2 linked regions of the Ovis aries genome follow. The main gene of each other region encodes a partner of the protein of the gene in region 2 in a complex. Links are inferred from orthologs where the notes say so. Each region holds a gene or a part of one and is shown on either strand. Other genes may lie near its edges.

Region 1 (15,801 bases), on a different chromosome or scaffold from region 2:
TCACTATAAATTAAAAATTGCTCTATTTACCAGCCCTTGTTCAAACAGCTCTTTTTCTTCTATCGTCCACTTTACTGAGTAACTGGCTGGTTTTGTAGGAGAGTGTACCCTGAGGGGAAAAAGAGGAATTGCAAAAAAATTTCTGAAATGGAACATTCCATATTTATGCAGCTAAAGGTTATAGATAGCCATGGGCTAAACTTAATACTTTTTGAGTCTAAGAATTAAAAAGAAGAGAAGAAAAAGCAGGCTGCAGCCTCTACCTGGGGGACCAGATTTACCCTGTCTTATATATTTCTCTAGCTCAGGACAGGAGCCCCCAAAGACATAATCCTTGGGTCTGAGTGAAGATAACACTAAAAGACATCAAAGGAAATAACAAATAGGCTTCCTTAGATTGGACACAAAGCAGCAAATGTTAATACATCTCCAAAACTTGAGAGGCTTGTCGGAGATAAACCGGGCTCCAGAAATACCATCTGATTCTTCTATGTAAATCTACGTAAATATCAAGCCGGAAAAGAGGTGAAAGTACTATGACACTATCATTATTGCTGTTGAAATGCAGGACATTAAGAAATTAAAAATAAAATTGAGATGAAGCCAACTAATTTAATTGATGTGAACCATTAATCTTTTCTTTAACTTCATTTTTTAGTTGTTGTTGCTTGTTCACCAAAATGCAAAAGCCAGTCTGTTCAGTGCTCAAACTCTTGGTAATTACAAGTCTACCCTCTAAGGGATTATCAACATGCAAGCTTAGAAACACTGAATAATATCAAACCTTCTTCAATTATAGGGAAAGGATGTTTATAAAACAGTTAATACTTAACTTCTCTAGATAATTTTTAAAAACTACAAATTCAAATTAAAGTTTTATTTGAAACAAATGAAAATTAACTGACAGGGCAACAGAAATCAAGTCAATTCATAATATACTAGAGGGCAGCTTAAAAAAATTTTCCCCACAAATCCCTAGAAAACCACCTTTCCCATAGTTTAATAAAATTGCCTATGTAGGGCCATAAAGGTTCTGACAAATAAATAATACAATAAAATTATCTTGTAACATTCCAACATTTGTACAAGAAATTTTTGATTTTATAATCGTGTAAACCCAAGGTCAAGAGGATTTTTCCACAGGCCAACTATAACTTGTTTAATTTTCCCCTAATTTTAAACTAATCAAAAAATGTTAAAGTATAAAATGTAAGTACATACATGATTTTTGCTGTTTTCTGCAGACTGCACCACATGAAAAAAGAAAATAAGGAAACCCGTGAAGTTTTTAAAAATACAATTCAGACTTTTAAAAGCATTATAAATTGATTTTACCTCTTCAAGTATTTTTTATCATCTTCCTTTTGATCAAGCCAGAATTTTCCTGGAAGTGACTTATTGGATAAGTAATACCTGTGTAATTATTAAAGAAACTTTTAAAACAATAATAAAGTCCTATAATTATTATGCAATTTGTATAAAGCAGGCACTCACATATCCTGAAAATCACACTTAAATTCAAGTGAAACCAATTCTTCTCAAAAAATTTTCCAGGTGTGTAATAATTATAACAAAAATGTTTGTATCTTATAGGGTTTTTATCTGGATTAAATATTACATGTGAAGTCATACATACACAGTATCTGCACAAAATGTGTACTACCTAAATGCCAGTTTCTCTTTCTTCCCTATTAGAAGTGGCTAAGAAAAGAGATATCCTCAATGTTTTATTTAAATCTTTTTTCCTAACACATATGGAGAATTAACAGATGCTGACTGGTCGTCCAGGATAATTCAGGAGTATCTGCTTTCACATTTCTGAAGGTAACAGAGAAGACTTTAGGGTTGTTCTCTACCCTAACAAATATAACGAACGCTTGGGTCAAATCTACCTCTCAGATTGATTAAACCTAGCCTATACTGTTATATTTTTAGATTCTTCACTTAGCAAATACTGACTGTGTGTCATGTGCACGAGGCATCATGGCAGATATCAGGTGCTGAAGACAAGGATAGAAGAAAGCATTATCCTTGTTCATCCAAGAGCTCGCACAGCTTTTACTATCATTATTTTGTTCCCAAGTCTGGAAGTGAACCACTGACTTCCTAAATATTCATTAATCTAGAATGACACTGTTCAACACATTGGCTAATAGCCACATGTGTAGCTACTGAATACCTGAAATGTGGTTAGCACAAACTGAGATGTACTGTTAAGTATATAAAATGCACACTGGGTTTCAAAGAGTATAAAACAAAGAATGTAAAACATTTCAATGTTTACATATTAAATGTTGAAATATATTTTAAATATACTGGGTCAAATAAAATGTTATTATAATTGATTTCCCCTGTTTTAAACATGGCTACTAGAAAACTATAAAGGACATATGTGACTTGCACTATTTTTCTACTGAAAAGCGATGATCCAGGCTATAGCTGTAATGTTTGGGGAGGGCTGGAGAGTAAGAAAGCCTAAAAGGGGGTTACCCATGAGAATTAAAGGTACACAGACACCCTGAAAACAACACAGCAATAACTGGGAGTAAAAGGAACAGAAATTCTGGCTTAAAAAGGAGATAAAAATCCATGAAACACAGAAGAGTTGAAAACAAACCACTCACTACTTTAATTAGAGTTATATTAACAATCTTTATAAATCAGAAAATCAGAAAACTTTTTATTCAATCCTTTTATTTTACATGTAAAAAAATATATGAGTTCCCCAAAATTTAAGTTGCAAATATCACAAACAGATGAAAGAAACAGGGCAAGAAGCCAGTGGCTGAACTGTGAATAAGGACCTACAACTTCTGGGAGAAAAAAATCTTCATTCTATAGTTTTGTCTTTTTTACTTAGATTGCCCCCAGTAACACCTATAAATTAGTAGAATAAGAAGTGAGAACTTTTACATATTCTCATTCTGTGTCTTTGGACGAATTAATATCTCATACAACTGAAAATGGGAGGTCTGGACTAGAAAATCTGGACTTAAACTAAGGATTCTAGCTGATTTAAAACACTCTATAGGAAATTCCCTGCTGGTCCACGGTTAGGACTTCACACTTTCCCTAAAGAGGGAATGGGTTCAATCCCTGGCCTGGGAACTAAGATCCCACATGCCATGTGGCATGGCAAAGATAAAAAATAAAAACAAAACAACAACAACCAAAAAATCTCTATAATTTCTGTCCAATATTAAGGTAACTGAAAGAGTTGGTTGACAACAGAAACTCAAAAGTATTGGGTCAGATCTCAGACTTAGTGGTAAAACAGAATAGGTAGGTAACATTATACCCTAGCATTACATCTAGCAACTAACAGTGGTCTCTTTTGTAAGTTTTGCATTAATGAATTTTTAACCCTGAAATCTTTACTTTCCTCATAGTGAATAAAGGATACTCTTCTTCCAACAACATTTTCTCAATGACAGCTCTGTTCTCTTCACTGATGGTGCTATCCAGAGTCCAAGGCTATTAAAAAAAAGGAAGAATAATTTTTTTTATTTACTGCTTTTTGAAACCAATTACTATTTTGTTAAATGAAAATACACAATAATATGATTACAAATAATAAAGCTACCATTTACCGAGAACACAGACATATCTTTGGACTCCTACGATAATGCTGAGACAGGCATCACTACTTCAGATGCATTCATAGAAGCAGTAACTAACGTTTTAAGTGGGAAAGAAGAGACTTGAGCCTTAGATTCCTAGGCTCTGGCTCCTACTCATGATAAAGTAATAATGGTTATCCTGCATGAGGAACAATTAAGATACTACTAAGCTTTTGCTAGATACCTCACCTATTAATATTTCCAAAACTCACCACAATTCCTTTCTTCCCCTTAAGCCACAATCTCTCCATACTTCTTTTTAACTCTCAAAACGTAAACATTTTCAGCCAAGTCTCTTTTCCAAGCTCTATTTAGACGGTTATAACTAACTACCCACTCAAAATTTCCACTTGGATACCTAACAGGCTTCTTAAAACTTCACATGTTCAAAACAAAATTTACCAAAGCATAACCTTCACCAGCTTTTCTCCTGCCTTCCCAATTTTGTAAGCAGCATTACTAGTCACCAAGCTATTCCAGCCTGAAACCCAGAAATCATTCTGGATTCTTTCCTTTTCCTTCAATCCCCAAACCCAATATAACAAGCATTTCTACCACGCAAACATAATTCAAATCTGTCAACTTCTGCCACAAGCTGAGGCCAAGCCATCACCGAATCTTGCTTAGGTCCCTAGAAATGTTTCCTAACTAGTCTTTTTCATTTTCTTCCTGCCTCCTGCTAGTGTGACAGGGCCATCATTTGCCTCCCCAACCTGTCACCTCTCCCCCTTTCCTACTATATTCTAGATACTGGATTTCAACAACAGCCTTTGTGCTGCTGTTCTTTCTGCATATAGTTTTCCTCTACTCTTCACATCCCTACTTCTACTTTCAACTTAAATGTCACCTTCTCAGTTTCCCTCACCATGTCCGTCTTGATTATGGTTGTAATCCCCCAAACCTGGCCTGGTGTCTGGCACATAGTAAGTATTCAATAGTTGTTGTTCAGTTGCTAAGTTGTGTGTGACTCTTTTGTGAACCCATGGACTGTAGCCCGCCGGGCTCCTCTGTCCATGGGCTTCCCCAAGCAAGAATACTGGAGTGGGTCACCATTTCCTCCTCCAGGGGATCTTCCTGCCCAGGGATCAAACCCGCATCTCCCACAATGGCAGGGGGTCCTTTACTGAGTCACCAGGGAAGCCCAAGGACTCGATAAATAACTGTTAAATGAAGAAATGAATCATGCAACAATCCCCATATTTTAGATGAAAAAACTGTGGTTCATAAATCTGATAAGTGGTAGAGCACCAATTTGTGCCTAAATCTAGCTGGCTCCAAAGTTGTTTCCCAGAAGGCCATTTTTTCAAAGGAAAAAAGAATAAATTCCTTCTATTTTTAATTTAAGAAAAAGGTTTCACTGTCTTACCTCTGTGACCACTGAGAACTAGCACCAAGTTAAAAAAAGAGAGAGAGAGAGAGAGATACTCTGCGCACTGAGTAATAGCTTAATATACCTGATATTTCCACAAAATACTTACAATAAGACCATTCTCAGTTCTCCATGATGAATCAAGATAATGATCTTGTAAAACTGATGCTGTATTTTCATCACTTCTGCAATAATTGAGAAAATAGGTATAAAAGTGAAATTATACCAATTAATGAATATAATTTACACAGCACAGTGACTGACAGGTTTCGTACGTAAACAAATATTTAGTTCCTTTCTCCATCCTATTTCAACTGCCAAATATCAAGTTTGTTTACTTCTCTGTCTCCCAAGAATAAACAACTCCATGAGGAAAAAACTATGTCCAAACAGCAACCACACACAACATATTCTGTGGCTATGAACCAACATTTCAGATTTCTTTTGATGAATATGCACATCTATACAGGAATTCAACTTTATGACTCTCCTGGTTATATCTAAAGCATAAAAGCCACCCATTAACAGTACCACTCTCAAAATGGAAGAAAAAGCAAGACGAAATAGAAGAAACAAAAGAAAATACTTGAAGGAGGACAGTACAGTGAAGAGATCTAACAAATCTGTTGTTTTAACTCACATAACAAAAATTAACTTGAGTTATCTGGGGGCTTTTCTATGTCTATGAGGGATTCAACTTTGTTAATTCTCAGCCTTTTAACTAATTAGAACTCTCTAAAGTCACACTTAAGAGAGTCATAGTTACTTCCACCATTTAAATGGGGAAACAATGGAAACAGTTAGAGACTTAATTTCGGGGGGCTCCAAAATCACTGCAGATTGTGACTGCACCCATGAAATTAAAAGATCTTGCTCCTTGGAAGAAAAGCTATGACCAACTCAGACAGCATATTAAAACACAGAGACATTACTTTGCCAACAAAGGTTTGTCTAGTCAAAGCTATGGTTTTTCCAGTAGTCATGTATGGATGTGAGATTGGACTATAGAGAAAGCAGAGCGCCAAAGAATTGATGCTTTTGAACTGCAGTACTGGAAAAAACTCTTCAGAGTCCCTTGGACTGCAAGGAGATCCAACCAGTCCATCCTAAAGAAATCAGTCCTGAATATTCATTGGAAGGACAGATGCTGAAGCTGAAGCTCAAGCTCCAATACCTTGGCCACCTGATGCAAAGAGCTGACTTATTGGAAAAGACCCTGATGCTGGGAAAGACTGAAGTCGGGAGAAGGGGATGACAGAGGATGAGATGGTTGGATGGCATCACTGACTCGATGGACATGAGTTTGAGTAAGCTCTGGGAGTTGGTGACAGGGAATCCTGGCATGCTACAGTCCATGGGGTCACAAAGAGTCAGACTCGACTGAGCGACTGAACTGAACTGAAAGTCACATTGTTCACTTCATATGAATAGTTAAGTTTGAGGAGGCCCAATCTGTGATATAATTAAATTTAAAATTTGCTTCTATATGTTTTGAAGTTATAAAAGTTTCCTAGTTAGTGACTTTTCCCAGTCTATACTTAGAAACTGCTATACCTCTTAGAAACTGCTATAATATAAAGTTTATTCTCTGTCTCATCCAATAAGAATGTGAGTTCCATAAAAGCAAGGACTTAGTTTGGATGAGTACTATAAACCCAGAGCTAGGCATATAAATGCTAATCAATATTTGTTGAATGACTGAATGAACAGGTAGGTGGGGTATGGATCACACAGGTCTCTAGGGAGTTGGGAGTACCATCATCAGATCTGGATGTAAGAAAAGACTACTCTAACTTCAGAAAAGACTAGAAGAGGGTCAAAGAGACAAGAAGCAGTTAAGAGGGAGTGATTACATAGATACTAGAGAGAAGTGACAGTAACTTAGACCTAAAGCACAAGCAATGTGAACAGGAAGAAGTGAACACATCTGAGAGGATACTCAGAATCTACAGACTCTCTAATAGGAGAGAGGTAAGGAAGAAGGTTAAAATCTAGGTCTCTTCCCTGCATGAGTGGGTGGATGGTGCCATTTATTGAACTAGGGAACTTGAAGAGGCAGGTTGGGTAAGGAAAGTTTCTATAAAGTGAGATTGAGGAGCTTGTGGCTCACCCAAGGGCAAATAGATTCAGGAAAATGGATAAATGGATCTGAAGATCATGAGAGAGATTTGAGTTGGTGACAGATTTGGGCAATATCAGCCTGTTATTAGATGGAATTTAAGATTAAATGTCATTTGTGTGGGTCAAAATTGGTAGAACATTGGGAAAATTTCATATGGTCCAACTTAAACAGAAATTTAAGCCTTGAGAGATGGACTGTATGGTTAATAAGAAGTCTTATGACAAAAATTCCTTGGAAATACTATGATTTAAAGAACAAGTAGAAGAAACAGAGGATAAGAAAGAATGGTAGAAGGGAAACAAAACACTTCAATGCATCTTCTAACCTTGGTAACCAGCACTTAGCAAGGACTTAAAAGTGTGTTTTCAATTAACCCTCAAGATGTCATGATCAGCTATAACTGAAAAATTCAGAGGGGCATCTAAGTGTTTACTCACACCAAATTCCACATGATTAGAGTACCAACACTAGGGAACAACTGTCACTAGACTGTAATGTTCATGATGCTCTACAGAATTGTGTGAGACAATGACGATGACCATCAGGAACCAACAACCAGTTACTGGTTTCATGAGACTAATGTGACTGTAAGTGCCATCAGCAGACTTTGGGCTCAAACAGAACAATAAGAAAAGGAAAGAAAAAAGAAAAAGAGAAATAAAACACGATCATAAAAATAAAGAAAAACCCATGGAAAAAGGGGAAGAGTCAGTGCTCTCAGATAATCTTTAGTGTTTCCAAGGGCAGCTCATCTGCCTTGAACTTCAGATAAGAATCCCTCACACCTATTTCATACACTTATTGTGGAAAGTAAATCAAACCACGCATGCAAAAGCACTCGGTCAAGATTAACTTGATCTACACAAATGTGAAAGACTGTTATCAAAGGCTTTCTGTTCATTTGTAGAGACTTGTACTGTTTTGTCTAAACAGCTGAAGGAGACTTAGTTACTTCTCATTTTTATAGTGTTTTAAGTTCAGGAAAACTTTAAACGGCTCTGTTTCAGTCCCTCATGGACAGGGGTTGGTACTCTTCTTCACAATTTACAAAGGTGCTATTATTAGGCTGGATCATGTGAAATTGCTATTCTATAGGTCAAAAATGGTCTAAGCCTCACAATTTTACCTGGCTTAATGTAGAGACTTCTAATGAACTTGTTCATAGTTATAAGCAACACAGCTGGCTGAGTTGAGAACTGAGGTCTTCTGATCCTGACCAGTCTAAGCCTCTTCTATTACTAAAAGAGAATTCTGAAAGCACATCTTTAAAACCGCATGTATCAATTTCTTTCTCTGCAAGCAAGGAGTCAAACAGCTAGATATCTCAAGCTGGAGGCTGCTTTTTAAAAGTCACACTGGCCTGCTCTGCAGGAACTGGTACTAAATGGTGACCTCTCACTGGGTCCTCAAAATACTATCCGTGGTGGGAAGGTAAAGAACACAACACTTACAGAGCACCTCTCTTATACTAGAGCACATCCCCAAATCATTTCATTTGATCTTCACAGTAACCGTACGAAGCACATAACATGACAGTCAGCTTACACACGAGTTGTCTGAGGCCCAAAGTCACACTGCTAGTAACTGCTGCTGCTGCTAAGTCACTTCAGTCGTGTCCGACTCTGTGTGACCCCACAGACGGCAGTCCACCAGGCTCCCCCGTCCCTGGGATTCTCCAGGCAAGAACACTGGAGTGGGTTGCCATTTCCTTCTCCAGTGTATGAACGTGAAAAGTGAAAGGGAAGTCGCTCAGTCGTGTCCGACTCTTCGCGACCCCATGGGCTGCAGCCTACCAGGCTCCTCCGTCCCTGGGATTTTCCAGGCAAGAGTACCGGAGTGGGGTGCCATCTAGCTGGGTCAATACACAGCTGTCAAACTCTTAAGTCCCACCCCTTTCTTTTAGATCACGCTGCATGTCGGGAAGTTTTTCATAACTACCCCTACGTGGAAGAGGAAACCAGAGGCTAGTAGGGATAAAACGACACGCCCAAGGTCACACGGCCTGCAAGCGAGGGAACAAGAATTCCTAAGTTGGGTTCTGTCCAGGGACCGCCCCTGTTCTAATTATTTTTTGGGCGGTGGCAAGGAGGCGGGTTCTGGAGTGGCAGTAAGGGAAGAAGCAATCTAATTGCTTAAGAGTATGCAATGTGCTAGGCGCGGTCAGCGCCCTCACAGGATCCCGGTAAATGGGCTGTCCCACGCTAGTCTACGGTACCCGCCCTCTGAGCTCAGGAGGAGCCCACAGACGGGATGGGCGAGGCGCGCCTCTCAGGCCGGCAGGAGACCCTGGCCCAGGGGATAGTTTTCCACTCCCCCGGCCCTTGCCGGAACCGCGGCCTTTAGAGGGTACCTCCTCACTGCCGTGCCCCTCCTCGTCTCTGCAAGCCCAGTCTCAACTGCTCACCCAGACTGTGCCGCCGCTGGCACTAGGTCCCCTTCGATATCCACATCTGCCTCTTCAGCCGCCATGATGGGACCTGACCCCAGCCGTCCTCCCGAGAGATCCCGCGAGAAGTGGAGGGCCTGAAGGCGGGGCCATGTACGTCATGGGGCGGAGTCGACGGCTCTGCCAGTTCTTTCCAGGCTGGGGAAGCGGGGTTTCGGAGAAAAGATGCTAAGGAGTTCTGGGGTTCTGGGGTTTTGTTGAGGAGCAGCTCAGTGCTAAAGAATCCGGTTGCGATAGGCCAGTTCGATCCCTACATTGGATCCTCTGGAGTAGGAACTGGCAACCCACTTCGGTATTCTTGCTGAGAAATCCCGAAATAGTCATGCACATCTTAAAGACTAAGCTTCAACAAAAGCCTTGGCAAGCAGCGCAGGCTTGGGTTTTGAAGAGACTGTGCTCTTGCATAAATTCTTTGGCGCCTCACTCCTCTGATTTGTAAAATGGGGATAATAATAATAATCTGCTGCTGCTTAGTCCCTCAGTTATGTCCCACTCTTTGCGACCCCATGGACACAGCCTGGTGGGCTACAGTCCATGAGAATTCTCCAGGCAAGAATACTGGAGTGGGTTGCCCTGTCCTCCTCCAGGGGATCTTTACCGTCTGAGCCACCAGGGAAGAGCTAATATTTTTATCTAGAGTGCTGAAAATATCAGATTAGACCTGCTTTGAACTGTGAAGGTGGCAACAGTGATCCTTACCTGCTGGTTTTCTTTCGTTTCCTTTTTTTCTTTTTTAAGGAATTATTCAGTACTTATTGAAGTGCTGAACATCTGTTTTATCAAAAAAATTAAGGGTATAACTTATGATTACATATTTTACTTTGTAGAGATCTTTACAATTAATTAAAATATCATTCTCATGACCACTAATTTTCACAATTGCACAGTGAATTAATCCGGACTGATATTATCTACAGATGAGTTCTACAGATGAGGAAACAGGCTCTGAAAACTGAAATAACTAATGGAAAGGAAAGATAGCTGGTCAAAGACAGCTGGGACCAGAATCTAGGCCTCTTGACTCTTTACTGAGTGCTTACCCTCTACACATCATGTAGTTGGGAACTGTGAAAGACAAATGCCATTTCTCTCAAATAATTTATGGTTTCTCAAGAAATTAGATGTTGGCCTTATGGATTATTCTCCCTTGGATCACTGCCGTTATTGTAGCTGTTCATTCACTTGTCTGCCTCCACTGTTGGTTGATGAATTCACTAAGAATAAGCACTGTATCTGCTAGTCTTTTCACTAGTCCTTATACTATCATCATTCAGCAAAGTGTCTGACACACAGTAGGTGCTTGGTAAATATACTGATGAATGAGTCAATCGATTCATGGAATGAGTCCTCTTCCGACACTGTTGTGAGTTTTTTCCATCTCATTTTTGTTTATGCTCAAGCCATAGATGAGCTGTATTATGAATGTGATGGCAGAAGATGGAGGCAAAGTTTATCACAGAGGAAGATCCGGTGTCCAGTGCTCAGAAACTGTATAGTGCCCCATCCTTAGGTCAACCTGCAGATGCTTTGTTGTTGTTGTTGTTGTTGTTGTTCAGTCGCTCAGACATGTCCAACTCTTTGTGACCTCATGGAATTTTGCATGCCAGGCTTCCCTGTCCTTCACCACATCCTGGAGCTTGCGTGAACTCATGTCCATTGAGTTAGTGATGCCATCCAACCATCTTGTCCTCTGTTGTCCCCTTCTCCTCCTGCTTTCAATCTTTCCCGTCATCAGGGTCTTTTCTAGTGAGTTGACTCTTCACTTCAGGTGGCCAAAGTATTGGAGCTTCAGCTTCAGCATCAGTCCTTCCTATGAATATTCAGGGTTGATTTCCTTTAGAATTGACTGGTTTGATCTCCTTGCAGTCCAAGGGACTCTCAAGAGTCTTCTCCAACACCACAGTTCAAAAGCATCAATTTTTTGGCGCTCAGCCTTCTATGTTCAACTTTCACATCCATACATGACTACTGGAAAAACCACAGCTTTGACTAGATGGACCTTTGTCAGCAAAATAATGTCTCTGCTTTTTAATATGCTGTCTAGATTTGTCATGGCTTTTCTTCCAAAGAGCAAGCGTCTTTTAATTTCATGGCTGCTGTCACCATCTCCAGTGACTTTGGAGCCCAAGAAAATAAACTCTCTCACTGTTTCCATTATTTCCCCATCTATTTGCTATGAAGTGATGGAACCAGATGCCATGATCATCGTTTTTTGAATGTTGAGTTTTAGGCCAACTTTTTCCACTCTCCTCTTTCACCTTCATCAAGAGGTTCTTTAGTTCCTCTTTGCTTTCTGCCATAAGGGTGGTGTCACGTGCATGTGAGGATGCTTTACCTGTTGCCAAAGGACTTATCCAATGACCAGTTCTAGTGGTAGCTGGCTTGCTTGTAACAGAGTAGGCATTCTGAGGTATTTGTTGGATGTGATTTACAGTAAGATAGAAAGATGGGCATACCCAGATAATCAAAAGAATATAGATGCCTTTTATTGACCTTTACATAGCAGGCCAGATGGGAACCTTGGACACCCGTGATATCAAATGACACTAGACCATGACAGAGAACACCATGAGAACAGCATCTCTTGCACCAAGGAACTGAAGGCTTTCCGGCCCAGTGCCACCATCATTAGGCATTAAAATATATGTGGAAAGAAGGAAAGGAAGTCCTGCACAGAACTCAAGTATGCCCGCAAGGCCTCTAAATGTAAAGGCCTCTTAAATAGGGGGACTAGCCTGAAGCCTCCCCACACATAACCCACACTATGCTCCTGCTTTGCTGACTTATGTGAAACAGGCTCTGTGAAGTTTTAGCCCAACCCCTAAGAATCCACCTGCAATTCAGGAGCTGCAGGAGACACGAGTTTGGTCCATGTGTCCAGAAGATCCCCTGGAGAAGGGCATGGCAACCCACTCCAGTATTCTTGCCTGGAGAATCCCACTGAAAGAGGAGCCTGGTGGGCTACAGTCCATAGTGTCACAAAAAGTCAGACACAACTAAAGCAACTTAGCACTCATGCATGCACCTACAGAGATACAGCTATAACCCCATATATAACCTGAGTGGATTCCTGAAGCCCAGTCTATTATTTAAAATTCTTTGTTCTAGAGTTCTGCAAAAAAAAAAAAAAAACACTCTGCAATTTGTTTAAAGACTCATTTTCTCACCCATTTGAATCTAGAATAAAAAATTCAGAGTTCATAAATACTTATATTCCTACTGTACTCAGAGAAATGGCATTGAAAAAGATGGACTCGTTCGTTGCTCTCATAAAATCTATCAAACATGCAATTTCAAGATGATATAATAAGTTCTATTAATACATTCCCCATCCTTCTAGGATCACAGGGGGAGGCACTTATCCCAGAATGAATACTCTCTTATACCACATTTTTGAAGATATTGATTAGTTAAAATTTGAAAGTAGTGTTCTAGATTCTAGGGACTACAAAATAGAAGGCCCTGTGCTAATATGGAGAAAAAAAATGGGAAAAATTAGAAGAAATTGATATTCACACAGAGCATAAAGATAGGATCTGAAAGGATGAAACTGCTTCTGGTAAATTTAACTATACCTTCCTTCCCCCTGACAAAAAAAGCTCAAGAGTACTTATAAGAATACAAAAATAAGTAAGACAGACAAAGACAAATATCATATGATATCGCTTATACGTGGAATTTAAAAAAAGATATAAATGAACCTATTTAAAAAATAGAAAAAGACACACACAGAAAACAAACTATGGTTACCAATCAGAATGGTGGGGGAGGGATAAATTAGGAGGTTGGCATATACACACTCAGTTTAGTTCAGTTCAGTCACTCAGTCGTGTCCGACTCTTTGTGACCCCATGAATCGCAGCACGCCAGTCCTCGCTGTCCATCACCAACTCCCAGAGTTCACCCAAACCCATGTCCATCAAGTCGGTGATGCCATCCAACCATCTTATCCTCTGTTGTCCCCTTCTCCTCCTGCCCTCAATCTTTCCCAGCATCAGGGTCTTTTCAAACGAGTCAGTTCTTTGCATCAGGTGGCCAAAGTATTGGAGTTTTAGCTTCAACATCAGCCCTTCCAATGAATATTCTGGGTTGATATCCTTTAGCATGGACTGGTTGAATCTCCTTGCAGTCCAAGGGACTCTCAAGAGTCTTCTCCAACACCACAGTTCAAACGCATCAATTCGACGCTAAGCTTTCTTTATAGTCCAACTCTGACCTCCATACATGACCACTGAAAAAACCATAGCCTTGACTAGATGGACCTTTGTTGGCAAAGTAATGTCTCTGCTTTTTAATATGCTATCTAGGTTGGTCATAACTTTTCTTCCAAGGAGTAAGCGTCTTTTAATTTCATGGCTGCAATCACCATCTGCAGTGATTTTGGAGCCCAGAAAAATAAAGTCTGACACTGTTTCCACTTGACATACTCCTTTTCCTATTTGAAACCAGTCTGTTGTTCCATGTCCAGTTCTAACTGTTGCTTCCTGACCTGCATACAGGTTTCTGAAGAGGCAGGCCAAGTGGTCTGGTATTCCCATCTTTTTCAGAACTTCCCACAGTTGATTGTGATCCACACAGTCAAAGGCTTTGGCATAGTCAATAAAGCAGAAATAGATATTTTTCTGGAACTCTCTTGCTTTTTCGATGATCCAGCAGATGTTGGCAATTTGATCTCTGGGTCCTCTGCCTTTTCTCAAACCAGCTTGAACATCTGGAATTTCACAGTTCATGTATTGCTGAAGCCTGGCTTGGAGAATTTTGAGCGTTACTTTACTAGCGTGTGAGATGAGTGCAATTGTGCCGTGGTTTGTGCATTCTTTGACATTGCCTTTCTTTGGGATTGGGATGAAACTGACCTTTTCCAGTCTTCTGGCCACTGCTGAGTTTTTCAAATTTGCTGGCATAATGAGTGCAACACTTTCACAGTGTCATCTTTCAAGATTTGAAATAGCTTAACTGGTATTCTATTACCTCCACTAGCTTTGTTCATAGTGATGCTTCCTAAGGCCCACTTGACTTCACATTCCAGGATGTCTGGCTCTAGATGAGTGATCACACCACCGTGATTATCTGGGTCGTGAAGAAATTTTTTGTACAGTTCTTCTGTGTATTCTTGCCACCTCTTCTTAATATCTTCTGCTTCTGTTAGGTCCATACCATTTCTGTCCTTTATTGAGCCCATCTTTGCATGAAATGTTCCCTTGGTATCTCTAATTTTCTTGAAGAGATCTCTAGTCTTTCCCATTCTGTTATTTTCCTCTATATCTTTGCATTGATTGCTGATTTCTTTGCATTATCTCTCCTTGCTATTCTTTGGAACTCTGCATTCAGATGCTTATATCTTTCCTTTTCTCCTTTGCTTTTCGCTTCTCTTCTTTCTACAGCTATTTGTAAGGCCTCCTCAAACAGCCACTTTGCTTTTTTGCATTTCTTTTTCTTGGGGATGGTCTTGATTCCTGTCTCCTGTACAATGTCACAAACCTCTATCCGTAGTTCATCAGGCACTCTGTCTATCAGATCTAGTACCTTAAATCTATTTCTCACTTCCACTGTATAGTCATAAGGGATTTGATTTAGGTCATACCTGAATGGTCTAGTTGTTTTCTCCACTTTCTTCAACTTCAGTCTACTAGATATCAAACAGGTAACAATTAAACATTACAAAATAAAAGATTAGTGAACTTGAGCATATAATCAAAGAACTATCCAAAATGAAACATACAGAGAAATGAAAACACTTTTAAATAAGCAGAAAAGTCAATGAGCTGTAGGATAACGTCACGCTCAGTTGGGGGCTCTGAAAAATGGATGGTAGGGATCAGGAAAAGTATTTGAAGGAGAAAAGGAAAATTTTTCCAAATTTCAGGAAAACTATAAACTCACATATCCAAGAAAATCAAAGAATTCTAGGCGTTAGAAAACATAAAGAAACTATACTAAGGCCCATTGTAATCAAATTTCTCAAAACTAGTGATAGAAAAGCAAGCTTTTCAGACAATAAAGGCACATTCCCTACAAAGGAAAAAACATAAGAATGACAATAAATTTCTTGTCAGAAACAATGGAAGCAGGAAGACAGTAAGCCAACATTTTAAAATTACTGAAAGGAAAAAGGCAGCTTAGAGAACTGTATATCTAGTATAAATATCTTTCGAAAATGAAGGCAATGTTAAGCCTTTTCGAGATACAAAATCTGAAAGAACACATCATCAACCTATCTACTACAAAAAATGTTAAAGAAAGA
Region 2 (15,341 bases):
CTTTGATGCAATTACACTTGGAATCTTCTGATTTCTGAACAGTGGCTCTCTGAATACCAGCAAGGTATTTATTCCTGAATATTAATTTCTGAACACAGCATCTTGACTGATTTATTTGTAATGATTTTTCCATTGATTCGCTGAGGCAGAGGCAGATACATCCTCATATCATCTACAAGTAATAGTAATTTTACCATCTCCTTTCCAGCTTTTAATCTCTTTTTTCCTTTGTTTAATTGTTTACTAGCTAGTTTCTTAGAATAATAATCATGGTGTTGATAATGGGCATTCTAGTGTCATTTCTAACCAGGATTACGATCCTGCTAGTAGTAGTCTAGCTAGTAGTCTATGTTGGTGTCCAGTTTTTCTTGTTTTAAGTAGATACGTATTGGTTGCATTTAGAATACTGGGAGTTCCCTGCTGGTCCAGTGGTTAGGACTTAGTGCTCTTTAGAGTCATTATTTTATCAAAAGAGAATTATTGGGCACCTGCTGGGTATTAGGCACTAAGCTAAGCTTTGGGGAATACAGCAGTGAACCAAATAGGCGTGGTCCCTTCCCCAGACTCAATCACCAAATAAATGCACATTAAATCAGTGTTGAGCTAATTATTTTAGTTATTTCAGTAGGAGAAATTTAACAAAACAGCTGCCAGCGCTAGCAAGGTGACCATGAAACAGAGGGGCAGAGTGGTGCAGTGCCCAGGGAGCTGAAGGGAAAGAGGTCGGCAGGGACCTCAGCCCACAGGACCCTGCAGGCCTTGTAGGATCTTGGTGAGCATTTTGGTGTCTTGAGAATAAGAGGAAGCCATCGGAGGAGCATTGTGGTTGGGCTTGGTTGGCTTTGCCTTATGAAACACTCACTTGCTTTGAGGGTGGAGAGAATGAACTGGAGGAGGCCTGGGTGGAAGCTGAGGAGACCAGGCAGGGGGCTACACCTGAAGGCCCAGTGAGGGAATGGAGAGGTGGGGAAGGGAAGGAGAGAAGTGGGCTGGCTTTGAGGGAGAGGTGGTGGCAGCCTGGGAATTAGGGGTTGGCCTTAGGGATCCCTGTGGGGGTGGAGCTGAGGACCTCTTTCGGAAAGGACTGTCCTTTCATCCCTTCCTGTCCTTCTTTCCCCAGAGGGGGACGTGGAGACAGGACTGGCCGTTACGGAGCCACCGATCGTTCACAGGATGACAGCGGGGAAAACCGTAGCCGGGATCATGACTACAGAGACATGGACTACCGCTCATATCCCCGCGAGTACGGCAGCCAGGAGGGCAAGCATGACTATGATGACTCGTCCGAGGAGCAGAGTGCAGAGGTGAGGGCTGGGGGGCCGGCTCCTGCAGGGCCTTGATCTGGCTGCAGCCCCGCGTGCAGTAGCTCTCCATTCCCATGCCTTCAGACTGTGCTCAAGGGCTTTGCCTCACCTGAAGGGTCTGTCCCCACTCCCCTCTCTGAGGGCTCCTCTCCCAGGTTGGGTCTCCCTGACCTCCACATGCTTGGCTCTGTACTTCTGAGGTCCCCTGGCCACCACCTCTCTCCCTTCTTCCCTGTTCTTCAGGGTTCACTGCAAGCCCTCTACTGCCTGCTCCCAGCCAGTTTGGGGACCCAGCATCTAGGGTCAGGAGGGTACCTGGATGTCACGTGGGTATCAACAAGCGGAGTGGCTCTGGGAGGCTAAGTGTGGGCATTCCCAGTGGTGGCAGAGCCCCTAGACAGAAAGGAAAGCCCCCTCAGGACTCTCCTCTGAGCTCCAGCTAGCCACTTCCATATTGGATAGTTAGCCCTGGCCTGAGGGGAAGGCATAATGCCCACCATCAGGGAGCCCCCATCTGAGATGAAGCAGCCTTGCCTTATGCGAACCCCAGGTTGAGGGGGTACTCAGGGCCCTGGTCCACACAGGTACAGAGGAGTGGGAAGGGTACCCTTGCAACCCCAGCCCTGGGAATTAGAATATGGGCAGCCAGCCACCCTCTGGGGGTCCAGCACAAAGACCCCTATGGTGGGCAGTCAGGCTTCCTTGGTGGCAACTGTGAGCTGTGCCTGGATGTGTCCAGAGCACCGGGTGGGCCCTGGGTGGACCAGCAAGAGTGGAGAGTTGAGTTTTCGGCCCCCGTGAGGGTAGGATGGGCATGGACCCAGGCCTGCCTTGCTTAGTGCTGAGCAAAGGGTTTGGGCAATGCCCAGGAATCCCATGACCACACCCTGTTAGGAAGGAGCATGGTGGTGACGGAGGACTGGCCAGGCAGTGGATCAGGGACCGAGGGGCAGTGCTGTAGTCCTCGCAATCTTTGCCAGCCCTTGCTGGCTGACTCTGGCCGAGGTCTTAAGCGATTCCTAAACCCACAACTTGGTGACAGGGCCCAGGCTGGGAGTCTTAAGTGACATGTGGCCTTCTGTGGCACAGGGAACAATTGTGCTTGTACTAGCTGAGCTGGCGAGGGGGGAGGGGGCAGAAAGAGTGTAGGGTTTAGTGTGCCAACCTCCAACAGTCTCGTCTCAGGGACGTCTGCTCACCTGTCTGTGGGAGTTCCTCCCCGACACCAACACTGCCCCCTGCTTCTCCCCAACTCCCCATCAAAGCAGCCCCCGCAAAGCATCTGAGGGAGAATTTCAGCTCCCAGGAGGATTGCAGTTTAGGGCCTGCCCACCTTGCCTGCCCCGAGCCTTTAGCCGGAGCCCGCCCACCCCTGGCTTTCAGAGCCTGCCTGCCTCGGAGAGCCAGCGGCCAGCCCCTAGGCCCACCCTCAGACTGACTGCCCGCCTGGTGTCTCTCGTCTCATTCTGTTGGCCAGGATTCCTACGAGGCCTCCCCGGGCTCCGAGACTCAGCGTAGGCGGCGGCGGCGGCACAGGCACAGCCCTACCGGCCCGCCAGGCTTCCCCCGAGACGGCGACTATCGGGACCAGGACTATCGGACCGAGCAAGGGGAGGAGGAGGAGGAGGAGGAGGAGGAGGAGGAGGAGGAGAAGGCCAGTAACATCGTCATGCTGAGGATGCTGCCACAGGCAGCCACTGAGGATGACGTACGTGCTCCCCATGTCCCCGGGCAGGCGGCAGAGCAGGAGGCCAGGCTGGGTCCCCTCCAGGGCCCTCAGCCCCTCCCTTACCCCCCACTTCCTCGGCACCTTTCAGCCCTTCTCCCCCCAGCCCTGTCCCCCAGCACTGCTCTGCCCCCGGGGCAGGCCCCGTCATCTCCTAGTCTGGAAGGGAGGAGTGTGGCACAGGCTGGTTTGGCCAGGGAGCTGCAGCGGTGGCTGTGGGAGGGAATAGAGCATTCCTTCCACGCATTCTGCTGGTGATCATCCCTTCTGCATATGCCGATCAAAGGCCAAATGCTCACCAGGCCCGCTGCCAGATATTGCTGTGATGTGGAGACCCTGCAGGCTGGGGAGGCTCTCCATGGGATTTTCTGAGGTTTTATTCTCATTCCCTACCACCTGCTCTCTTTTGCCAGCAGCCCCGGATCTCCTCACTGGCACAACCACAGAGCCTTGAGTCCTCCTTCCTTCACTGCTGTTGCAGCCCTCCCACCCCGTCTGCCTGTGTGACATTCCCTCCCTGTCCGTACCAACTTCCCTTCATGAGCAGGAAAACCCCATGTGGGCCACTAGAATAGCCTCCTCACTACCCTACCCAGTTCTCCTCCTCCTCCTCACGGCCTGTGAAGGCTCCACTCAGCTCTCCCCTGAAACCTGCTGGCTGCCTGTGCTGTCGCAGAGAAAACCCCACCTGTGTGTCTGAGAGCTCTCAGGTCTGGCCCACCTGCCCTGTTCAGGGTCAGGCAGTAGCTGCATGTTTCCATTTGTGGAGGATCTGTCACATGGTGGGCCACATGCACAGCCGCCTTACAGGGAAGGTCCTCTGTGTTTTTCATCCTACGGATGAGGAGGCCAGGCCCCTGGCAGCTGGCCCCAGTTCCCATAGCCAGCAAGTGACAGAGCAGAGTTGGGGTCTGAACCTGGGCAGCTGAGCCCCAGAGCCCATGTTCCAGCCGTTTCCTGAGCCCTCCCTGAGTATTGTGATCCTGATCTCCTGTGTCTCTCTCTTCTCCATTCTCATGTGTGCCTGTTGAACCTCCAATCTGTTGCTGACCCTGGTGAGGGCACTGAGGCCCAGAGGCATTATAGCCACTGGTCCAGAGTGCCCAGCACAGGCATCCAGTTGTTGGCGAGAGGTGCCACTGGCCTCAGGACCCTGCCTCACCTGATCCAAATCCCAAGTTGCATCTGCAACTTCGCCTGGCGTAGGTCATCCAGGAAGCTTTCCATACCCCACAGCTGTGCCTTTTGGTCTCAACCTCAAGTTCCCACTCTGTTCGTGATCTAGTGCCCATGGCTGGGCTTTGCTCAGACCCCAGTCCTTCCCAGTTTGGGGCTTGTGTCATGGGTCTCTCTCGATGCAAGCTGGAGGGCAGTCCATTCATGAAGGGCCAGGTTTGCGCCCCAGCTTTCCTTGCTTTGTGGCTGCAACAAGCCCGTTGTCAGACCACCCATGCCCACCATTCTTGAGCTGCTGGCTCACTTGCTCTTGACATTCTCTGCCTCTGAAGGTCCTTACACTGCCATGCTTCACCTTGCAGCCCACCCCTTCCTTCCTTTGGTTCCCTCTGCAAATCTGGGGCTGAAAGCTGAGACTGGGTACTGGTAGGGGGCCGGAGCTGTGATCACTGGGGGAGAATCCCTGAGAGAGGGAGTGGATACAGTGTGTGCACAACCCCTGTGACCCCCTTGGGGTCCCAGAGACCTCCATCCAGCCCCTGGTACCCACAGACAGACCCCTTGTGCTGAGCCTGCCTCAATCCATATCACCCCATACAGATCCGTGGCCAGCTGCAATCCCATGGCATCCAAGCGCGGGAGGTCCGGCTGATGCGGAACAAATCCTCAGGTGAGCTTTCGTTCCAGTACCCTCCCCTTCTGCTGGCCAGCCTCAGCCTCCGAGTCTCCCTCCTGCCTCTGCCTTCTCCCCCACCCTCCCCACCCTGCCTTCCTGCCACAGCTGGGAATGGGCCACTTGGGGGTATCCTCTCTTCTCTCACCCCTCCTCCCACCCTCCTCACAGCTCTGGCCAGGAGCCTCTGATGCGGGCCTGTCGGGGAGGGGGTGCAGCTGTGAGCTGCGCTGAGTGCTCCCCGGGGGCAGGGCCAGGGCCAGGCTCCAGGATTGTCCTCTGTGGGACTCTGAGAATCTGAGACGGTACCCCGTCCCCCTCGTAGACTCCCTTCCTTCCCTCTTCTTCTCCTTTCCCTGCTCCTTGCTCTCCCTGACACTGTTCTGGTAACAGCCTCTGACCAGAAAGTAGGTCCCACCCATGTGTCCCAGGAGGGGAGGCAGGGGATGGCTCTTGTCCAAGAGTGCATCCCAAGGAACAGCCCAGGTCGCTGGCCTCGCTCGTTCCCTCCCTCCCTCTTGCAGGCTGCTTGGAGCTGGCCTGAGGTTAGTGGGCGGGGTGGGGTGTCTCTGCAGGATCTCCGGCCCAGGCTACCCAAGTCAGGCCCAGTGAGGCCTCGCTCTGCCTGGGCTTCTCTCTCCATCTTCAGTCTCCTCCCCACTCCTCCATCTGTGTGTGTGTGTGTGTGTATATGTGTGTGTGTGTGTGTGTGTGTGTGTGTGTGTATCTCTCTGTCCCTACCTCTCACTCTCTCTGTAATTATACCATTTCATCCTCCTGTGCATCCTAACAGTTATTCTTTTGGAGATCAAGCATGCCCCGCCGTGTCTAAGCTCTCCCAGTGTGTGCACCTCCAAAGGAGGAGCTGCTTTCTGGCGGCCTCAAGCCCTGGATCCTTCTCCCAGCCAGGCCTGGAGTCTCTCTTGGTAGCATGTTGGTCTTGCTCTGCTGCACCCTAGCCAGGCTGGCAGGATTCTGGTCTCCCCGGGGTGGTGTCCCAGGCCCCCTCTGTGGCCCCGGGTGCTCCTACCACGGCCCTACAGATTCTTGAAGGTCTCCTTGGACTACCTGGCCCCCATTCTCCTGCCATCTTGGAGGACCTGGACTGGGGTGGCTATAGTCTTCCCAGCTTGGCCCTGAGGTGGCTCCCTGGGGAGTCCCACCTTCCCTGCATGGTGGTGAGGCTGAGGGGAACATTGTGTCCCTGACTTCCCCTGGTTCCTGATGGTCCTGGAGCCTCTCCAGCCTCACCAAGCAGCCTAGCCCCGCTTCTCTTTTGCTCCTTCCATTACACACCTGTTGTGGGACCCCCTCCTGGACTACCCTGGCCTCGTGCTGGGCATCACCATTCCAGTTGGTGATTCTGGCCCAGGTGAAACCATCAGCCTGCCCCTCTGCCCTCCTTCCTTTTCTGGAGACAGACCTCTCCTTGTACTTTTTCCCTCCCAGCTCCTTCTCTCCGTCTCTGTCTCCCCAGGCTGTCTGGGCAGGTGTGCCTGAGCCCCCATCTCTGTCTTTCTTCCCAGCTACCGTGTGTGTATCCCCCGCCCCCAACTCCTCTCCGGCTGTGTTTTCCTGCCTCCCTTCTTCCCTCCTTCCTGCCCCTACCGACCATCTCCCTGGCCTCCCACATCCTGGTCTTTCTCTCTTTGCTTTTCTCTCTCCCTTTCTTCCTTTTTCCTCTCTCCACTTCCCTCTCTGCCCCCCACCCCCAGTCCTCTCCCCTCGGGTCCCGCCCCCGGGAACGCCGTGTGTCCAAAGCTGTTGACTAACCCACTGCGTCTGTATCTGAATGCTGTCTCCAGGTCAGAGCCGGGGCTTCGCCTTCGTCGAGTTTAGTCACTTGCAGGACGCTACACGATGGATGGAAGCCAATCAGGTTGCTTTGCCGCACTTGAACCCCCCCCCAAACAAATACTACTTTGTAATCGAGCGCTCCCCATCGCCTGATTCTTACGGACACAGTTCCCTGCCCTGTGGTCCTGTGTCTCATCCCCCCCAACCCCTCTCTCTACCCCTTCCTGACCCTCACTATCTCCTCTTCCTGTCTCTCGCTACCCACTGGGCTTCCCATTAAGAGCCCACACTTGCCACTGGCCCTTCCCTCTGGTCAGGCGCTAGCTCTGCCTCTCCTCCTCTCCCAGCTGAGTTTTAAGAGGAAGGGCTGCCTTGGGGGTGGTAGGGGGGTTCTTCCACCCAGGTGCCCACTCCCCGGGGGACCACCCTGCCCTGGGGTGAGGCAGAGCCAGGACTTTGTTTCACTCAGGCACCACTGCAAGTCCAGCCGCTGGGGAAACTTAGTTGTTGGCATTACTAATTAGCAAGTCCTGTTTTGCCAGCTCTCTCCCTGTGAGCTTGGCCCTGTGATTTCCATAGGACAGGCCAGCAGGATTCTATTGACCTAAAGTACCAGTCAGGGGTCATAGTTTCATTCACCAGGACTCACTTTGGTGCCCCACCCCTCCCACTGCACCTGGCCTGCCCAGGAGTCTCCACTGGGGACAGGCCTGCCCTCCCAGCAAGGAGTCTTGCTGTCCGGAAGGGAGGGGAGCTCACTCCCCCAGCCTGGCATGGGCTCCTAACCCAACAGCTTTGGGACCTTCAGAGACCCAAAGCTTCTGCTCACCCACCCAGAGCCCAGCTGACTGCTATGGGGCACTGTGCCTCGGGCCGGGGGAAGGGGAATGGGGCAATATGGCGGCCCTGGGGCCATCTCTGCTGGTCCACAGGCTAGTGGGCCCAAGGACCCAGCTGGCCACGGGAAGACAGCTTCACTGCAGGACCGTCCATCTTTTAAATATGGCTCTTTCTTTCTCCCCTTCTCCAGCACTAGCGCGCGTGCGCTCTCTCTCTCTTTCTCTCCCCTCCTCTCCCTCCCCTCCCTGTCCCCTTCATCCCAAGTGTAGCCTGTGTAGTGCTGGCCCTGGGTGTGGCCTGGCAGTGTTAGGGCTGAGTGGGGGTTTGCCGCACTGTCCGGCAAGCTTCGGGCAGCCGAGCACTGTATGCCTGGTGGAGTGTGTTCACGTGTGCGTGCCCGGAAAGGCAGCAAACAGCTGCGCCCGAGGGCTGTGGCTCTTTCCCTCCCTCCTTCCCTTCCTTCTTCCCTTGTCAGTTCTCCGACCTCCCTCCGTTCCCTGTCCCTCATCCATCCAGCTGAAGGGCTCGCTCACTCTCTTCTCCTGTGCTGAAACGGTGCGTGGGGCACTGCTGCCCAGGCCTCACTGTGCTCTGCTTTTCCCCGCAGCACTCCCTCAACATCCTGGGCCAGAAGGTATCCATGCACTACAGCGACCCCAAGCCCAAGATCAATGAGGACTGGCTGTGTAATAAGGTACAGGGGCAGTGGGCAGCAAGTGCCATGGATTGAGACAGCCGCGGCAGGGGTGGCAACATGTCTGTCTCCCTGGGGCCTCTGAGTGGTGCGGGCATGGAGGAACTGGCCCAGCTCCGGCAGCACCGCTCATTGCCTCCCCCACGACTCCCCTCCTCGTCCACCCAGCCAGCTGCCAATTCATACTGAGCTTTCACTCAGTGCCAGGCTCTGCCCTCATGCAGCACGATATTGCCTGAGGCCCCAATAGATGTCACATAGACGTTTATGTGAGTGACTAGTGACGGTGAAGCATAACATGGTGTATGAAAAGTGGGCATCAGGGCCAGACTGGCTGAAATTAGACTCCCTCAAAATCCCCCTTGAGGTCAGAGTATTAACCTCTCTTTGCCTCACTCTCCCCATCTCGAAAACACAAATACTAAATACCCAGAGGTGGTCAGAAGGATTGAAATGCAGTGATGAGAGGGTAGCACTTGGAACAGCACCTGTCAGCTGCTGTCCTAAATAATGTGTAGGGTGTTCTGAGAGCTTGTGTCAGATGACCCAACCCCTGACAGAGCCAGGTCCACAGAGACTGACTGTACAAGCTGTAGGTCTTTGCGCTCATGTTCCCTGGGAGGAGGCTGAGGCTCAGAGAGATGGAACCTCGAGCTGCGTCTTATTCCTAATCATAGGCTATGGGTGCCACCGTGGGTTCGGGTCCCCCCTTAGGCCAACCTCACCTTCTGCAGCCGGCTGACAGCCCTGAGACCTAAGTCCTGAGAGCTTGCAGGGGCCCCCAAGCCTCTCCCCAAGAAGAACTCTGCCCAGTAAAGTGGGGGAGGGGGGCCTCTTTGTTTGAAAATGAAAAGAGTAATACCAGAAGGCAGATGTCCAGCCTCTCTGGAGAGAGTGACAGGAGGACTCACTCCATCTCTCCTGTATTTTCAGATGCTCCTTAAAACTAGGGCAGTCTGTTCTTTCCTCTCCTTTATCTACCACATCCTATTGCTCTCTGGTCTTGTCACGTCCATCACACAAACACCTTCCATTGCCATTCTCACTGTGCAGGCTGGTCCTCACCCCTCCTCCAGACAGTCACCATGGGCCCCTCTCTGGTTTTCTGGCCTCTTGCCTGTCTCCCACTCCCTCACCTTTGGCATTCCTCACACCCACTTCTGACCATGTCCCTCCAACTCTGCCAAAAACCTGCACATATCTGAACGTGAGTGTGACGCTCCTCTGGGATTTAATGTCACCTTCTCTAGCCTTGGCTTTTGCCTTTCTCTCCACCCTCCTACACCAGCTACACAAAATGTCTTGTGTCCTCTGCTAGCAAGTGCTTCCCAGCAAAACCAAACCTCTGGGCCTCCCAGGTGAAACAGCCATGCGGACTATACCCAGCTGAGTAAGCTGGGCCTCAAGGCCCACTCCTCTCCTGGAGTCCCTGGTGGTGACCATTTCCAGACTGACCTGCTGCACCTCTGTGCTACATCCGCTCCCTACTGTTAGGCCGCATGCTGCGGAGAGCCTGGCATGGGAACAGTGCTCAGGACTTGACCGCGGATCAGAGACCGAAATGTGGTGAAAACTGGGGGTCTCCAGAGGCTGCAATGCCCAAGGCAGATTTATTTCTCAAGAGTGGCAAGATCCAACCTCGAGATGAAGGGGTGAGGCCTGGCAGGAGAGGGGCTACTGACTTTTTAAGGATAGAAAAGTGATGAAGGTTTCTGAGAAGGAAAGTACGTTCTGGGAAGAGGAACCTACTAAAAGGACTTTGGAGGCGGAAACGTCTCTGAGCTGGTCCCTTGGAGGAGACAGCAGTTGGTAACAGAGGTAGGGGGTGGGTTACGGACTCCTGAGTTGAGGGGTGGGCGCTGAGGAGAAATTTGAAACCATGTAAAGAGTCGTGTGTCTGAGAATGACAGCCATTCCCCAAAGCCCTTTGCTCCCCCCTCCCCTGACCCTGGGACCTTCCTGGGGCATGGTGGGATCCCTGGAAGATTTCTGGATCCACATTTGGAGGGTGCAATGGAAAGCCCCCACCCCCCACCCCCTGCTGCCTCTGACAGCCTGGCCTGTGCCTCACAGTGTGGCGTCCAGAACTTCAAACGCCGTGAGAAGTGCTTCAAATGTGGGGTGCCCAAGTCAGGTACGGCCTTCCTACCTCCCTCTTCCTTGGGACATTGTGGGGAGAGGGGCGAAGGGTGAAGGTCACAGCTCTGGAAGGAGGGTGACCTGCCTGGGAGCGCCTTCCAGTTTGTCACCAGTCTCTCTCCTGATGCCCCTAGCAGAGGCGGAGCAGAAGCTGCCCCTGGGCGCGAGGTTGGATCAGCAGACGCTGCCGCTGGGGGGTCGGGAGCTAAGCCAGGGCCTGCTGCCCCTGCCACAGCCCTACCAGGCCCAGGGAGTGCTGGCCTCCCAGGCCCTGTCACAGGGCTCGGAGCCAAGCTCGGAGAATGCCAATGACAGTGAGTCCATTGCTCCTTCCTCTCTGCCTTAGGGTGTCTAGGCTGGGTTCCCTGAGGCCAGAGAGACGGTGGTGACCAGGACTTAGTCTTCCCAGGGGTCCACCGGGTTTGGAGTCAGACACATAATGTAGGGAGAGCAGAAGAAGAGCATTACCAAACTCTACTTGAAGGGTGTGTTGAGACGATTCTCTCCAGGCAAGTGGCTGAGCTGGGACTTGGGCCGACAAGCAGAGAGGAAGAGGTGGGAGGAAGCAACAGGTACAAAAACATGGAGGCCAGGGAGAGGAAGCAGTGGGGAGCCAGCAGAGGGCAGGGCTGGAGGGGGTTATTGGTGCTCCCTAATGTTGAGTCCCTTCCCACAGCCATCATTTTGCGCAACCTGAACCCGCATAGCACCATGGACTCCATCCTGGGGGCCCTGGCACCCTACGCAGTGCTGTCCTCCTCCAATGTACGCGTCATCAAGGACAAGCAGACCCAACTGAACCGTGGCTTCGCCTTTATCCAGCTCTCCACCATCGTGGTGAGGGCGGCACAGGGGGGGGCCGGGCAGCCAGAGTCCCGGCCCCCAGGGCAGGGAGGAGGGACACTGACCCTAGCTCCCCAACCGCGGCCCCAAACCTGGAAATGGGGCAATGGAGCCGGGGGCCTCCCCGGGCCTGACCCTTCTGCCCTGCCCACCCCCAGGAGGCAGCCCAGCTGCTACAGATCCTGCAGGCCTTACACCCACCACTTACCATCGACGGCAAGACCATCAACGTCGAGTTTGCCAAGGGTTCTAAGAGGTCAGGGCCCCACCTGTGTCCCTTCTCAGCCTGCCCCCCAGCCTGGGGCCTCCTGTCTCACTTCCAGTCTCTGACATCCTCCCCAGGGATATGGCCTCCAACGAAGGCAGTCGCATCAATGCTGCCTCTGTGGCCAGCACTGCCATTGCCGCGGCCCAGTGGGCCATCTCACAGGTACTCAGAGACTCCCCTCCACCCCAGCTCCCCCATACCTGGGCCACCTCCACCCTCCCGCTCCCTCTCTGCAAACAGGAGGGCTGCCTTGCTGTAGCGGCTTCCCGTGGACCAGAAACCCTCTCCCGATGGTTGCCGGTGTGGGCTGCAGGGGCCTCATGGCAGCTCCATTCCCCAGCCCCTCCTCCCAGGCTTCCCTTTCCAGGGCCACGCAGCCGCTTTTCTCTTCTGTTTGGTGCTCATGTGTCATTGTGAATTGTTTCAACTTTTTTTGATAAAAGGGAACTTAGAAGTGGCTGTAAGAAAATTGGGAGAGGAAAATATAGGCGGGGAGGATGGCATCTTCCCTGGTCTGACCCCCCAACCCATATAACACACAGCGCATCTAGCAATGTCAGCTCTGGGAGTGTTTTGGCACGTGTCTTTGTTCCAGTCTTGTTTTTGTCACCACCCCGCTCCGCTGTGGCCCGGTGTTCTTGTCTGAAGGCTGCATGGTTTCTGTCAGCAGACAGACACTAGCTTCCCTTGTGGGCACATGCCTCTTAGCCGGTTCCCCTCCCCTCTACCCCACCTCCTCTGCTAATGAGCCCCTCCCACCTGCCCCTCAGGCCTCCCAGGGTGGGGAGGGTGCCTGGGCCACCCCCGAGGAGCCAACGGTCGACTACAGCTACTACCAACAGGATGAGGGCTATGGCGGCAGCCAGGGCACAGAGTCCTCTCTCTATGCCCATGGCTACCTCAAGGGCGCAAAGGGCCCTGGCATCACCGGAACCAAAGGGGACCCGGCTGGAGCAGGTAAGCCTCAGCGTCTCCCCCAAACCCACGGTGGGGACTGGCAGGCCTAGGGTCCTGGGTCCTGCCATTCACATTTTCTCTTCTCTGTTGCCCTTCCCAGGTCCCGAGACCTCCCTGGAGCCTGGGGTGGACTCTGTGTCCCTACAGGCTTTCTCCCGTGCCCAGCCTGGTGCCACTCCTGGTGTCTACCAGCAGTCAGCAGCTGAAGCAAGCGGGAGCCAGGGCGCTGCCAACAGCCAGGTGAGGGAAATCAAGGGGGAAGGGTCCTTGGGGGGCTCCTGGGTGACATGGGGTCACTGGCAGACACTGAGCCTTGTTCCCTGTTCTTGCCCCCATGACCAGTCATACACCATCATATCACCTGCTGTGCTCAAGTCAGAGCTCCAGAGTCCCACCCATCCCAGCTCTACCCTGCCACCAGCCACGAGTCCCTCTGCCCAGGAGTCCTACAGCCAGTACCGTGAGTAGCCACAGCCTGCACCGAGGGGCAGGGGGCTCCTTCACAAAGCAGTGAGGTGTGTGACATCCCTCCCACACACTTGTCACTCCCCAGCTGTTCCTGACGTCTCCACCTACCAGTACGATGAGACATCTGGTTACTACTACGACCCCCAGACGGGCCTCTACTATGATCCCAACTCTCAGGTGATGGGGCGGCCTGGGAGGGGAGGGGGTGGCGTCTGCTCCACGGCATCTCAGTCCTCCCTCACGTCCCTTCTCCCATCACCCCAGTACTACTACAATGCCCAGAGCCAGCAGTACCTGTACTGGGATGGGGAGAGGCGGACCTACGTCCCTGCCCTGGAGCAGTCAGCTGACGGGCATAAGGAGACAGGAGCGCCCTCCAAGGAGGGCAAAGAGAAGAAGGAAAAGCACAAGACTAAGACGGCCCAACAGGTGAACACTGGGAGCCCAGCAGTCACTGTCCATTAGGTGTCTTCTGGGTAGTATCTGTGCTTGAGAGAGACCCGGCTCCTGGTCCGGCTCTGCTCTGCGCTGTGTGATCTTGAGCCAGGGCCATCTCCTCGGTACCCAGTCAGGCTGCCCACCTTCCTGAGGTGGCCACTGCCATCCAAGTGCAGCCTATCAACTATCCTGTCCCCTGGTGGGAACCTTTGTGCTGTTGGTGACAGTGTGGGCTGGTCTGGGCACACCTGTAGCCAGGCTAACCCTGCCTAGGGAAACAGATGCACAAGTCTGCTCCTGTGGGCCCAGAACCCCACCTGATGGTGTGTATTCATCTGTCTGTGTATACACATGCCAGAGAACTTCTTCCAGGCCCATCAGGGGGTGGGCAGGAAAACAGCCATTGCAGTGTTCTGTGGTAGTGGGCAGTTGGAGGGAACCTCCATGTCTTCTCTGAGGAGGAAGAGTGTGACAGTCTGGGTGCAACACTTAGAAGCAAGAACTTCGTGTTCCCTTGATAGCCTGGTAAATTCTAAAACTGATGGTGTGCCTGGGTAGGGATTGGGCATCAATACAAAATGTGGCATAGAATCACACCTGTTAATTAAAATTGTATGCCGAGCAAGCCATTCTGTGCATTTCAGAATGATGAAAACTCACAGCGACCCTAATAGCATGGACACCTGTGAGGAGAATAGGGACACAGCAAGGGAGGGGCTTGCTGAGGAGCACTAATGACAGGATGACAGAGAAATGGGGACTTTAACCTCTGCCTCTCTGTCCTTCCACTTGAGGCTGCAGGGCAGGAAGGGGTGGGCTGCTACAAGGGCAGTGGTTGGAGTTGGTGACCCCAGCAGTTGGTAGATTCCTAGGAGCCTCACCCCACCACCACCCTCATCCCTAGATTGCAAAGGACATGGAACGCTGGGCCCGCAGCCTCAACAAACAAAAAGAAAACTTCAAAAACAGCTTCCAGCCCATCAGCAACTTGCGAGATGATGAAAGGCGAGAGTCAGCCACCGCCGATGCAGGCTACGCCATCCTCGAGAAGAAGGTGTGTTGTGGCCATCCATTTGTGCTCTGTCCCCAGGCTTGTCATCCCTTTGGTCCTTCTGTGGAGTCCCTGAATTTCCCTGTCCCTCCACCCCTGGTGCTTCAGATGGTAAAGAATCTGCCTCCAATGCAGGAGACATGGGTTCCATCGCTGAGTCGGGAAGATCTCCTAAAGGAGGGCATGGCAATCCACTCCAGTATTCTTCCCTGGAGAATCCCATGGACAGAGGAGCCTGGCGGGCTATAGTCCATGGCGTTGCAAAGAATCGGACATGACAGAGCAACTAACACTTCCATTTTTCCACCCCAGGGAGCACTAGCTGAGAGACAGCACACCAGCATGGACCTCCCCAAACTGGCCAGCGATGACCGCCCAGTGAGTGCCTGGGGCAGAAAGAAGGGTGGGGGGCTGTGAACTAGCCAAGCCTGACCTCTTGCCTTCCCCTTTTCCAGAGCCCACCTAGGGGGCTGGTGGCAGCCTACAGTGGGGAGAGTGACAGTGAGGAGGAGCAGGAACGCGGGGGCCCAGAGCGGGAGGAGAAGCTCACCGACTGGCAGAAGCTGGCCTGTCTGCTTTGCCGGCGCCAGTTCCCCAGCAAGGAGGCGCTCATCCGGCACCAGCAGCTCTCCGGGCTCCACAAGGTGACTGAGGGAGGCCTGGCAGGGAACCCCAGCCTGGCCTGGCCCAACCGCTTCACTCTCCTCCTGTCCTCCTTTACAGCAAAACCTTGAGATTCACCGGCGAGCCCACCTGTCAGAAAACGAGCTGGAGGCACTTGAGAAGAATGACATGGAGGTGAGGTGTGACCCACTCCCCGGCTCCATCCGTCGGTCCCTTGCCAAGCACCCCATCTGTCATGCAGGCAACTGGTGCGGGCAAGTTCCTCAGCTAGACACAGCCTGGCTGCCATCAGCCACCTCACATCTGTCGCCATGCACGAGCTTCTTCCCAACTACCCCGTGTT

What was found.
Region 1: RBM10 (region 2) and MYSM1 share a complex: the UniProt entries of both Homo sapiens proteins name them as parts of the large chromatin remodeling complex. The link is inferred for Ovis aries from reciprocal best matches to the Homo sapiens genes RBM10 and MYSM1.

The regions. Positions count from the first base shown.
Region 1 is NC_056054.1:33,404,664-33,420,464, forward strand, and holds the start of MYSM1 (deubiquitinase MYSM1), read right to left. Parts: upstream 9,591-15,801; 5' UTR 9,581-9,590; coding exon 9,516-9,580; intron 5,175-9,515; coding exon 5,099-5,174; intron 3,475-5,098; coding exon 3,404-3,474; intron 1,414-3,403; coding exon 1,336-1,413; intron 1,246-1,335; coding exon 1,222-1,245; intron 110-1,221; coding exon 31-109; intron 1-30. UniProt on the Homo sapiens protein: Metalloprotease with deubiquitinase activity that plays important regulator roles in hematopoietic stem cell function, blood cell production and immune response.
Region 2 is NC_056080.1:57,634,695-57,650,035, reverse strand, and holds part of RBM10 (RNA-binding protein 10), read left to right. Parts: intron 1-1,120; coding exon 1,121-1,304; intron 1,305-2,781; coding exon 2,782-3,012; intron 3,013-4,806; coding exon 4,807-4,876; intron 4,877-6,684; coding exon 6,685-6,758; intron 6,759-8,123; coding exon 8,124-8,210; intron 8,211-10,283; coding exon 10,284-10,344; intron 10,345-10,483; coding exon 10,484-10,663; intron 10,664-11,025; coding exon 11,026-11,186; intron 11,187-11,350; coding exon 11,351-11,448; intron 11,449-11,534; coding exon 11,535-11,622; intron 11,623-12,230; coding exon 12,231-12,417; intron 12,418-12,517; coding exon 12,518-12,657; intron 12,658-12,759; coding exon 12,760-12,877; intron 12,878-12,970; coding exon 12,971-13,062; intron 13,063-13,149; coding exon 13,150-13,314; intron 13,315-14,227; coding exon 14,228-14,377; intron 14,378-14,686; coding exon 14,687-14,752; intron 14,753-14,829; coding exon 14,830-15,018; intron 15,019-15,097; coding exon 15,098-15,172; intron 15,173-15,341. UniProt on the Homo sapiens protein: Binds to ssRNA containing the consensus sequence 5'-AGGUAA-3'. May be involved in post-transcriptional processing, most probably in mRNA splicing. Binds to RNA homopolymers, with a preference for poly(G) and poly(U) and little for poly(A).